Callithrix jacchus: one gene and its partners. The protein of the gene in region 3 interacts with the protein of the main gene of each other region in a pairwise test. Links are inferred from orthologs where the notes say so. Each region holds a gene or a part of one and is shown on either strand. Other genes may lie near its edges. The genes, in order: ERBB4, ERBB3 and HDAC6.

Region 1 (4,213 bases), on a different chromosome or scaffold from region 3:
GGCATTTACAGTTTCCACTGGATCACCTTAGTATGCGTGTTGCAATTATACCAGGGATGCACCCGAGAGCTTTTCTTTGTGCGGCCCTTTCATCTGGATCACTTTGTGTTTTGAACAAGTGAGACTCGCCTTTGTGCCCCCAGAATTTCAAGTACAGAGTCACACATGGAACAACAATGGCACGCTAATCCTCGCGCTCTAAATGGGCTCACTTGTGGGTCTGACAATTCGCCCAGGGAAACGAGAAGAGAGGAGCGAGACGCTAGCTGGTGTCGCCTGAGCCGAGGAAGAGGACAGCTGCAGAACTAATTTGGATTACATTCCTTGCTGAAATTCTGAAAAGGGCTTTTCGGCATAGCTCAACCCGGAGCCGCACAGTTAATACCAAATTGCTGCGGACTCGGAGCGGGGTCCCCCAATGGCAGAGGCTGAACCAGACAGTCCCCAGTAGGTCGCCTCGTAGAAATTCCTCTCGGTTAAGCCTGCATGTCGGTCGCCACTGCCTTTGAATGGGTCAATGTGCATAATCAACCCATTGAGGGGAAATATGAAGGGACTCGAAGTGGGGAGGGAGATAAAAAGAGATGTATCTAAGAGGCCGCTTGGAATGTCAAGTCCGTGTTGGTATGATTCCGGAGGTGGCTGGAGCGCGGGACCTGGTATGCATGAAGAATTTCGGAGTAATTGGGAGGGTGCAAACCGCCAGCACAAACGCCGCACATGTGCCATTCGAAGGTCATTTTGAAAGGCTCGATGATTGTAACTTGTTATTTACTAGGCAAAGGAGGAGGAGGTGGCGGCGGCGGCGGGGGCGGAGCGGGAAAACTACAGCTTGCTGTTTTCTTGGTGAGGTCAGGATACCCTACAGGGGCCTAAAGCTCTCCCTATCGCCACTCCCGGGGGCTTTATCACCTCGAGCTACCTCCCACGCTCCAGTCACCAGCCCCGGATGGTTTCGGAAATCTCCCTGGCTCTCCAAAAGCCACCCCTTGGCCGCGTCAGACAGCGGTCCTCCTCAGACCTCTCCTGTCCCACTTTCATCCCAAGAAACTCAAGTGTCAGAAACTTTGAGCTCCCTTGCACTGCAGGTGCTGTCATTAGTCCTGCACGCCGTGGTGCGCCAGCCCCGCCGCGCTGTCTCTCGGGGTCAATGAGCCCTTTGCCTGCCCAGGTACCTGGGGTTCGAGCTCTCTAGCAAGCAGTGGCCGTGCACCCAGCACCGCCGCCGCCGCTGCTCGCGCCTGGGGTGGATCCGGTGACCCGCAGGCTGGGCAGCACCGCGGGGCAGTAAACAGACAAGTTTGAAGGACTCCGGCCAACAGCAAGTAGAACTACAGGAAGAACTCTTCCCGGAGCCAAACACGGCAACCGACGGGAAGGCCGGGCTTCTGGCTCGAGTGTGCCAACCCTTTTTTTCCCCCTTTTTTCTTTTTCTTTTTTCAAGGTCAGGCAGGCCAGCAAGCGCCCCTGAAGTCATTGGGGCAAGGGCTCCGGGAAGCTGGCAGAGGAGGCCCGGCGCTCCGGTCCCCGGGCCGAAGAGGGCCAGCCCGCTGCACTTCGGCTGCCCCGGCTGGGCGCTAGTCGCGTCTGACCCTACAAGGCTCGGGTGACTGGGGCGCAGAGGCCGCCGGCAGCACACACAGGTGCGCAGCCCGACTCTCGGAGCGCCACTCTCCACCTCCCTTCAGGCTGGGTTCGGGAGAGGCCCAGCCAACACCGCCCTGGGACTCCAGCCCTTCCGCGGCCCCGGTGGAGCGGCTTCTTCCCTCGAGAGCCCAGAGTGGGACAGGAGAGTCTCCTCTGACTGGGGATTTCCGTCTCCCATGTCCCGAACAACAGGCGCCACCATAAGGGATCCCGCTTAGGCTCCACACAAAATGCTCGGGAGAGAAACATAGGGGGTTACGGAGAGAAAAAAAAGGGACAGGGGCTGAGAATGATTTTTGCGGTAAACAAAGCTCGCGCACACATACAGGGTAAGTTTCGAGTGGAAAGAGGGGCGACCGAGAGCCCCCGGTCAAGCGGTCCCTGCACGCCTCCCGGGATGGGTGAAGAGGGCAGGGGAGCCACTCGAGGCAGCCCCTCCGGCGGCGGCAGGTTTGGCAACCGGAGCGCCAGAAGGAACCCACCTGACTGAGAAGCGCTGGGCTGGACGGTCCCTGCCACCACGAGAAGGCTCACCCAGACCCAAAGTCCTGTCGCCGGCTTCATTTTTTGGAAGTCTCAGATCCCGTGCTGACAGTTACATGTCCAAATGGCATATCCCCCTTTCGGGCACGCGGAGGAGATCCCACAGCCGGGCGCGCGTGGGGGCGCGAGGGGGGCGGGCGCGGCGCGCGCGGTGTAGCAACTCCCAGGGCGGGCGACAGAGTCCACGCCGGCAGGTCCAGGGCCGGGGCCCGAGGAGGGGGCGAGTGTGCGTTCGAGTGTGAGCGCCTGTGTGCGCGTGGCGCTCCGGGCCGGACTGTGCAGCTATTTCCCCGCGTGAGCCTTCACTTGCTCGCTCCCTTCTCACTTTCTCTCTCTCTCTCTCTCTCACTGGTTGGTCAACAATAAAAAAGGAAGAGGGGGAGAAAGGTTTCCAAAAAAAGTTGATTGCAAAGAGGCGGTAGGTTTCCGGCCTCTCCCCACAGCAGGGCTATGTTGGGCTGCTTCTTCAGTTTCCGTGCACCTTCAGTCCAAATCGGGAGGGGAGCGGGGCGGGGGGAGGTTCTCGCTTCTCCCCGGATCCCGTTCTTCTTTTTCCTGTCAGCTTTCCTCACACTTGTCCGGCGGCTGCAGTAATTAAAGCTCTGAGCGTCATTTCCAACGCTCCGCGGTCTCCAGCTGCAGCCCCACAGAGAAATTAATAAGACTCCAGAAAAAAAAAAAAAAAAAAAGGTGGGGGGCGGTGGGAATAAAACAACCCTCCAAGCAACCAGGCAGGCTCTGCTCAGCCGCTCAAACCCCGCCCATGCTCTGACCCAACTAGCCACGCCCTTCCCCCCCCCCAAAAGGGAAATCTTATTGGCTCAGCCACTCCCCAAAATCCTAGGGCCTCCGGAGTTGGGAAAACACCTGTCAGGGAGAGGGAGCCGCGTGGTGGGGGCAGGGGAAGCTGGATTTAAAGGGCTCATCCGAAGCCACGCACTGAAGCACTCCTCTTCCCGCCCTGGCAGAGGCCGGGGACAGCTGGCCTGCGAAGTGAACAGACCATCGGAGGGGCGCTTACGGAAAAAAATTTTTTTTTTTTTTTTAAACAAGAAGGCAGCGTTTTTTCCATTGCCCCCCAATGCTCCTCTACAGACAGGACTTTCTCTAGAAATAAAAGGAAACTCAATGTTGCTTTCAGCAAAAAGCTTCCTCCTGCAGCACTCTGCCACTCATGGTCCACAATTAGAAAGTAGTGTGATCAGGAAGTAACTGGTAGCCCCTGCGGTTAGGTAGTTGTGGGTGTATAATCACCAATCACCACCCTGGCTCCAGCCCCAGTTATGCCATCTCTCTGGTTCTTCCCACATTTCCAAACTGACCATCATTGAGCCAAACTAAAATTTCACATTTATAAACCCTTATCCTTTGATTTTTAGATTTTGTGGGTTTTTCACCTTTGGAGTTCATTCTTATTAAGCAGATTCTTGTCCAAAGCCACTGATTTGATCCTAAAGGGCTAGAAATTGTCTCAAGCCTGAGAGAATTTAAGGACACATCAGAACATTATTAACCTTAAATGATTCTGTTTATTCTATAGTAGACCTAGCTTTAGGCCTCTTCCTTGTCCACACTCTGCATTCAGGCTCCCCAGTCCTGAGGCCATTGCTAGTTATGAGCATCTCTGACCTTTTCTGAATCTAAATATTCTGGGACTGGGTCATTTCAATGTACATATCCCTTGCCTTTTACAGCTATGAAACTGCACCCTGGCAAGGGCCAGAATCTCCTGGGGGTAGTAGGTTATTGGTTTGCTATTTGTACAGGCATTCTATGTATGAATTACTTTCCGTTTTTGGTTTTTCTAGAAGCAGCAAATATATAAATAAAAAGTATCAGGGGAGCTTAAAAATCAAACCACCCTGCTTTTCATTAGAGATCTTGATCTCTGTTTCCCACTCTCTTATCTATAGCCCCATCCCTCAAGAATTTCCATGGAACTGAGAACAGATAGGAAGTACAGATGCCTGAAGCCTGAAGCTTTCCCTTTCTTAGACCTACAGCAAATAACAGGCTCCATGAA
Region 2 (3,525 bases), on a different chromosome or scaffold from region 3:
CATTCTGAACATCTGGGTACTTGTAGATGGGGCCTTTGGCACCTAGGACTCCATGGGGGCAGCTACTCACACAGTGGGGCCCATCTCGAAAATGGGCACATTGAACACAAGTATCAGAGCCCTGAGTGGAAGAGAGAAGGTCAGGATGAATCAGATCCAAGGTCAATTCCATACCTCCCAGCAAAGACCAGCCCAGACATTCCGAATCTTCTATCTGCAGACCCTAGCATTATCTGTTCTCTCTGTGCTCTCCTTAGTCATATCATTCCCCACATGCTCCAAGTATTGCCCCTTCTCTGTCTCCCTTGGAGATCCTGGTGCTGCTACTATACCGAGCCATTGCATGTGGCAGTTCCCTCCATGGGCTGGCATTCCGGGTGGCAAGAGAAGCATTCGGACTCATGGGCAAACTCTCGGGGCTCCCTGCATCGGGGAATAAAGGGAGGGGGGTCACTTCCAAGTCCTGACCTTCATGCCCTGATACCACAACCACAGGTCTCCTCTCTCACTCCCACCAAGGCATATGCAGAAAGCTTTCTAAAGGCTTTTATTATATGCTACCTGAATAGTTCCATTGCAGGGTCTCACCCCCACCCATCTTTGACTGGCTCCCATCACTGTACCCATTCAGAAAGTTGCAGTGGGTTACACAGACACCTCCTCGGCTGTAGTTTCGACAGGACAAGCACTGACCAGGGCCCGGGCCCCAGCATCCCCCAGAGGAGCACTGTGGGTCACACACTTTGCCCTCTGCCACTGGAAAAGAAAGGATAGATTAGGAGAGAAGTCTGAGGACTCCCAGCCGGCCCTCTCCTCATTACTCTTTCTTGTTACTGCTTCCATCTTAACATCCCCCTTCTCCTTGATTCCATCCCTCAACCCTACTCCCACGTGTGGGCAGATGAATCCTTCCAGCCCTCTCCTCCCTGACTCCCTGTTCTCACCACCCAGCAGACCCTTTCCCTCACCGCATTCTCTGCGGGGCCGATTATGCTTGATGTCTAGTCGCTCTTCTGAAGGCCCCCGAAGCAGTTTGGTCCAGTTCAAAGAGTGGTGGTAACAGAGCTGCCGATTGGCACTTATATAGATACGCCCAGCACTGATTTCCTTCAGGGATCGGAAGCCCAGAGATGTGACATTCAAGTTCTTCATGATCAACAATGAGAAGCCCCGGCTGAGAATAAGGAGATAGGATGAGAGGAGACTACTAAGGGAACATCAACTATGCAGTGGATTCATGTTAACCAAAAATGTGCTCAGTGCTTAGTCAGATCACTGAGAGGGAGTCCCCTTCCTTTTGCCCTTTCCTCATCAAACTCTGAAACCCTTTGGTTTTGAGGCACTGCTGTATGTATGAGACAGTGCCTTGTATTTTACTCAAGAATGCCTATGACACAGGCTTCATTGCCTGGAGATGCCATTTCCTCCATACCCTTTACTCACTTGTAGAGGCTTCTGCCTCCAATGGTTGTCAAGTTGGAAAAAACACTGAAGTTGTGCATGTGGGGAGGCCAGGACTGGATGTTCAGGTAACCTGAGGAGTTGGAGAGAGGCAATATGGGCAGGGAGCCTGCTTTATTGGGTTCTCCTGGCTCCTCCCCTGTAACTTGGGATGTGATTTTCTCAAGTAGTTACACCGCAATTTATGCCAGTGGTTCACCTATTCTAGAAAGGGCAAACTCTCAAGGCTGGGCGCGGTGGCTCACACCTGTAATCCCAGCACTTTGGGAGGCTGAGGCAGGCAGATCACCTGAGATCAAGAGTTCAAGACCAGCCTGACCAACATGGTGAAACCCTGTCTCTAAAAAAACATAATAAATAAAATAAAATAAAAAAAGAGAGGGCAAACTCTCTGCCACTCACCTGTGATCTCCTGTACTGTCTGGAAGACATTGAGCTTCTCTGGGTCCAGGGCAGGTATCTTGTGCCAGGGGTCTCTGAGAAGAACAGCAGAAACCAGTCAACAAGGTAAAGGTTATACCTTTACCTTGATTACCAGTGTCAATGAGCACACACAGCCTCAGAATTTGGTTTCTTTTCTTTTCTTTGAGACGGAGTTTCACTCTTGTTGCCTAGGCTGGAGCGCAATGGCACAATCTCAGCTCACTGCAACCTCGGCCTCCCGGGTTCAAGTGATTCTCCTCTCTCAGCCTCCTGAGTAGCTGGGATTACAGGCATGGGCTACCACGCTCGGCTAATTTTGTATTTTTAGTAGAGATGGGGTTTCTCCATATTGGTCAGGCTGGTCTCGAACTCCCGACCTCAGGTGATCCACCCACCTCAGCCTCCCAAAGTGCTGGGATCACAGGCATGAGCCACCACGCCCGGCCTTCAGAATTTGGTTCCTAAATATTATTCTCTACTAAAAGGAAACATTCCTCGGAGAAATGGCTGGGACAGGGGAACTGTAATATGAGCCTAGAGCATCTTGTGCAAACAAAGAAAGACTTAAAGAACTAAGCATACAGCCCAAAGAACACAGGAGCCAGCTTGGAGGGGCTCCCAAAGGCCAGATCAGGGACACCTAAACACCAAAATAAATGATTGTAAAGGATTATAACCATTGACTAGAATAAAATAAGTATCCAAAAGAGTAAATAAATAGGAAAGAAAGACTTTTTTTTTTTTTTTTAAGAGACAGGGTGTCACTCTGTTGCCCAGGCTGGAGTGCAGTAGTGTGATCATAGCTCACTGTAACCTTGAACTCCTAGGCTCAAGCAATTTTCCCACTTGCTCCCAAAGTGCTGAGATTACAGACATGAGCCACTGTGCCCGCTGGAAAGACTGTTCCTAACACTAGAATGCCAACAAACACATGCAGAAGAAGTAATGGAATTAGAAAATCATCATTTGGCAACTATCATAACAATAATTGATTCAGGCAATTATCCCAAGACGTTTAATAATAGCAAATGGAAAAAACAGTAACTTTACAGTAGAAAAACCTGACAGGTTTTTCTTAACTAAGTGACCAGAGACATTATTGTGAGTGCTGGGGCAAATCAACATCACGTGCATCCTCAATAGGATGCCCTGAGCTCACAGCCTCTGTGGTGTTCCTGTCAAACTCCAGCCTGGAGACAGTGCATGCCTGTAATCCCAACACTTTGGGAGGCTGAGGCAGGAGGATCGCTTGAGCTCATGAGTTCGAGACCAGCCTGGACAGCATGGTGAAACCCTGTCTCTATAAAAAACATAAAAAAAACCAGCCCTGAGTGCTGGTGTGCATTTGTGATCCCTGCTACTCCAGGGGCTGAGGTGGGAGGATCACTTGAGCCCGGGAGGCAGAGGTTGCAGTGAGCCGAGATCATGCCATTGCACTCCAGCCTGGGCAATAGAGCCAGATCTTACTTATCTCAAAAAAAAAAAAAAAAAAAAAACCTACAAAAACTTGAATCTAATCATGAGGACACATCAAACAAATCCTAACTGAAGAACATTCTGCCCATTAACTAACCTATATTCATTAAGAATATCATGAAAGATAAATAAAACCTGAGAAACTGTTATAAAGGAGACTGAAGA
Region 3 (4,195 bases):
GTCTTGCCCCTTTTCCCTGAAAGCATGGGCTTTTGTTTCTTTTGTTTACTGCTGTATCCCCTGCTCCTCAATAGACATTAAATAGGTATTCCATAAAAGAAGTCTTTTGCCATAATAAGTTAGTCTTAGGTTGGAATAAGGGATATAGATATCAATTGGTCAACACACAAGTATGACAATTAGCACACAATGCCATGGGCTAGGAAAATAAGATCAGGTATTGGGGTAGGGTTTGGCCAGGCAAAATCCTCTTTGAGAAAGTCTCATTGGGATGTGAAAGGTAACTGGAAGAGAAGAAGATAGAAAGGAGTCTCTGGGAAAGGGGTTGGCCAGGGTACAGACTAGAGACAAGAGGGTGCCTGGCATATTGGAAGAATAAGGGGACAAGTGTCGGTGAGGAGGATTGGCTGATGAAGTCACAAAGTGAGGTGGAGCCAGATCATGTGGAACCTTTGAGGCCAGGATGAAGAATATGGACTTTACCTTGAGGGTAACAGTTTGCCCTTAAAGTTTTTTTTTGAGACAGAGTTTTGCTCTTGTTGCCCCAGGCTGGAGTGCAATAGCGTGATTTCTGCTCATGCAACCTCCGCCTCCTGGGTTCAAGCGAATCTCCTGCCTCACCCTCCCTAGTAGCTGGGACTACAGGTGTGTGCCACTACACACAGCTAATTTTTGTATTTTTAGTAGAGACGACATTTCACCATGTTGGTCAGACTGGTATTAAACTCCTGACAACGCAGGCAATCCATCTGCCTTGGCCTCCCAAAGTGGTGGGATTACAGGTGTGAGCCACCACACCCGGCCTCCTTAAAGTATTTAAACAAAGACAACATCATTTCACACATATTTTTTTTACGTTGCTTTGTGAACAGACAATAAGGCAAGGCTGGAAGCAGGGGACCAGGGAGGAGGCTTCTGGAAGTCTAGGTGAGTGATGATGATCGTGGCAGTGGAGGTGGTGAGTTGAGGTCAAATGGTGAATATAATTTAACATATAGCCAAAAAGATTTGATGATTCTTTTTGAAAAGTAAAGCAAATGGGAGGTCTTTTCCTCTAGAAAGGCTCCTGGGAAGCCCGGATACTAGTCTAGGATCCTCTATTACACACCCTTGAATCCCTCTGGTCTTAAATTTGTCTTCATTAAATACCTCATACTGCTGTTGACTGTTTAAGACTCTGCCCTCCTACTCACCCAATCAGTTCCCAGAGAAGGGACCCTGTCTGTTGTTTGGTACATTTGTATCACTAACTCTTGGCACACAGTAGGCACTCAATAAATGTTTGTTTGCTACATAGAAAAACCCTTTCAAGTGTGAGCCCTACCTCCCCAAATCACCTGCTTCCAGTATCCAGGCTGGGGTAAGAAAGGATTTGTTCTTGCTAATGGGCTCTAAGTGTATGTATTTTTGTGATTTGGAGACAGCCTGGAAGATCCAGCCTCACCTGTCATCCCAGAGGCAATGGAATTCGTTTAGCTGCTCATCCAACACCAAGCCAGTGCCAGCCAGTGCTTCAGCCTCAAGGTTCAGATCCTGCAGAGGAAAAAAAAGGAGACACAGATCCATTTTAGGCCTTGAGTCAGAAGGAACATCCTAAACTGTCCACGGTGGGGAACCTTTGGGTTTTGATTGTCATACGAGGCTAAATTGCAGCCAGGCCCTGCTCACCATCCCCTGCAGTCCCACGATTAGGTCTTCTTCGATTGCTTGGCCGAGCTTCTTCATTTTGCCTTTCTTCTTTACCTCCGCTAGATTGGGGATGGAGCGGGGAACGGCTCCCTTTTTAATGTTTCGCTTCTGCGAATCAGAGAGAAGGGTCAGAGTCCAGGGCATGGCCAGCTTGCTCCCTCTCCCCTCCTCAGGGCGGGTCTAGGGCCTCACCGATGTGACACTGGAGTCCTGAGGAGACGACTGGGGGTTCTGCCTACTTCTTCGCTGCCTGGTTGTGGTGGAATCCTGGCCGGTTGAGGTCATAGCTGAGGAGGCTTTGCCCCTGTCTCGGTTCTGGGGGGGGGAGGCGTGGGTGTGTGAAGGGGCAAGTGTGCCCAGAGGACTCCGCCCCCTCTATTAGATTCCATTCCTTACGCGATCTTTTTCTCCACAGCCTTCCAAACTCCGCCTCTCTCAGGCCTTCTCCCTCCACTCAGGTGGCCATGCTACCTGGACCCGCCCGGTCCGCTAGACTCCACCCCTTTACATGATTCTTTCTCCGGTCTTGCCCTTTCACTGAGCAATGAGCCCCCTGGCTCACTCAATCCCTTTTAGGGCCCACCCTTTCCAACCAATCACCACCCCTTCCACTCTCCCAAGCCCTTCCCAGACCCTCTAAGCCCGGCCCGGACCCCATTCCTTCACGTACCTGCCCTTTCGGCCTATCTCCCAGGATAATCACCCACCCTTTCACTCAGCCCGCCCCGGCCCCGGCCCCGGCCTCAACTCCACCCTTAACGATTCACTTAACTCCACCCCTTATCGGGCCGGACCGGTACCTTCCACTCTGCCAGATCCCGCCCCTAGCGTTTCAACCAGCCCCGCTCCTTAGGGGACTGCCCCGTTCCTTCACCAGCTCCACCCCCTGCCCGGACCGGACCGCTAACGTTTCGCTAAGCCCCTTCAGCCAGTCCTGAGCGCCTTCAGTCGGCCTCCACCCCCTTCCCGCCTCCGCTGTCGACGCGGCCAGTCCTCGCCGCTCCACTCACCGGGCGCAACCCCTTTCTCAAACTCCGCCCTTGGCTCGCTCCGCCAAGTTCCTGGCGACCCGTGGGGACGCGAGTGTCCGGGCCTTTCTTTTCCATTGGGCCTGGTCTCTCGACTGCCCGCCCAGATCCCGCCTTCGGAAGGGAACGTGCCTCAAGGCCGCGCCCCTCGCGCGAGCCACACCTCTCGCGATCTCACAGAAGGCGGGATGGTGCGTCGGCGTGCTACGTCACTGTACTGTGCCTACGTAAAAGGCGCGCGCCGTTGATTCGCGACCGGGCTGCGGCGCAAGCTCTCCACTCCCTCGATTACCATCGCTGTCATCCTGTATGCCATAGCCGCCGCCCCTCTGTCCCCGTCCAGTCACTTAGGAGCCCTCCAGGCCAGCGGTGTCGCGAGAGCAAGCAAGGAAGCGTGGGAATTAGGAAGGGCTTCTTCCCTCTTCCTCGGGACTTCCTGCGCGACGCGCCGTGATGACGTAGCGCGGGCGGGCTAGTTGTGGATGGGCCGAGAGCGGGGTTGCCACTGGACGTTGGCTGGTGGCGGCCAAAATAGGCGTGGTGACGATGCTAAATGTTGTGAGGATTTTTCGAGTTAGTATTCAGTACGGTGGTACACAGGAAGCACTAGCCGAATGTTAGCTATTAATATTTTGCCGCAATATTCTGGGTGAAAGGAGTCTTAGTGGGGGCAGGGAATGGTAATGATAGCAAGTGTGTGACAGGCATCGTTGTAAACCACAATTCTATGAGGTAGTTCCCATTATTAAGGCTGCTTTGCAGATAAGGAAACTGAGGTTACGGGACTTAACCATGTGACCTTGGGCAAGTTACTGAACAGCTCTGTGCTCCGTGTCCTTATCTGGAAAGTTGTGATAATAATAGTACCCAGGGCCAGAATGGACTCGAAGAGGGGAGTTACTCATGGGCAGCAGCTCTCCCTATCTGCCCCCTCCGACGGGTAACCTCTGCTCCCAAGGAGTAATAGAAAGTGTCTGTGTGCCCGGGGAGTCGGGGGAGCTGTCCTTGGGAACCCCCTTCCCCGCAACTCCCACTCTGGGTCTAAATGTCAGCTCTGCAGGAGGCCGGTTTGTCCTCCTAATCTCCCTCTCTCATTCTCCACCATTTCCTACCGGTCTATAAGCTGGAAACGGAGAGATAAGCAGTTCGCAGTCCGGGGGTTCAGCGTCGCAGACTGACAGATTGACGGTCTCACCGCCCAGTAGCTGTGCCCTCTGATCCTTTTGAAGATGCCAATTCCTGCTGCCTCTTCCCTTTTCATTCCTCCTACCTGAACCTCTTTTGTCTCAGCGCAAAAGAGTTGCAGACCTAAGACTTAAACTCCTACACTCACCAAAGAAAACACATACAATGATACACACACACAAATTCTAGAGTTGTGGTACCTGGAACATAATAGAGTAGGGAGTCTTGCAAAGGGTCAAGGCCCATTTTTCTGTTGGATCAGAAGAGAGGTTCCTGTGGAGCAGGGGTCAGCA

The links.
Region 1: the proteins of HDAC6 (region 3) and ERBB4 interact in a protein complementation assay, tested with the Homo sapiens proteins (2 studies listed by BioGRID and IntAct, with this or other methods). The link is inferred for Callithrix jacchus from reciprocal best matches to the Homo sapiens genes HDAC6 and ERBB4.
Region 2: the proteins of HDAC6 (region 3) and ERBB3 interact in a protein complementation assay, tested with the Homo sapiens proteins (2 studies listed by BioGRID and IntAct, with this or other methods). The link is inferred for Callithrix jacchus from reciprocal best matches to the Homo sapiens genes HDAC6 and ERBB3.

What each region holds. Positions count from the first base shown.
Region 1 is NC_133507.1:134,244,886-134,249,098, forward strand, and holds the start of ERBB4 (receptor tyrosine-protein kinase erbB-4), read right to left. Parts: upstream 2,825-4,213; 5' UTR 2,212-2,824; coding exon 2,130-2,211; intron 1-2,129. UniProt on the Homo sapiens protein: Tyrosine-protein kinase that plays an essential role as cell surface receptor for neuregulins and EGF family members and regulates development of the heart, the central nervous system and the mammary gland, gene transcription, cell proliferation, differentiation, migration and apoptosis.
Region 2 is NC_133510.1:63,577,623-63,581,147, forward strand, and holds part of ERBB3 (receptor tyrosine-protein kinase erbB-3), read right to left. Parts: intron 1,938-3,525; coding exon 1,864-1,937; intron 1,535-1,863; coding exon 1,444-1,534; intron 1,175-1,443; coding exon 969-1,174; intron 757-968; coding exon 624-756; intron 424-623; coding exon 333-423; intron 122-332; coding exon 1-121. UniProt on the Homo sapiens protein: Tyrosine-protein kinase that plays an essential role as cell surface receptor for neuregulins.
Region 3 is NC_133524.1:49,380,651-49,384,845, reverse strand, and holds the start of HDAC6 (protein deacetylase HDAC6), read right to left. Parts: upstream 2,815-4,195; 5' UTR 2,796-2,814; coding exon 2,700-2,795; exon of another isoform or gene 2,086-2,699; intron 2,005-2,085; coding exon 1,882-2,004; intron 1,798-1,881; coding exon 1,669-1,797; intron 1,534-1,668; coding exon 1,445-1,533; intron 1-1,444.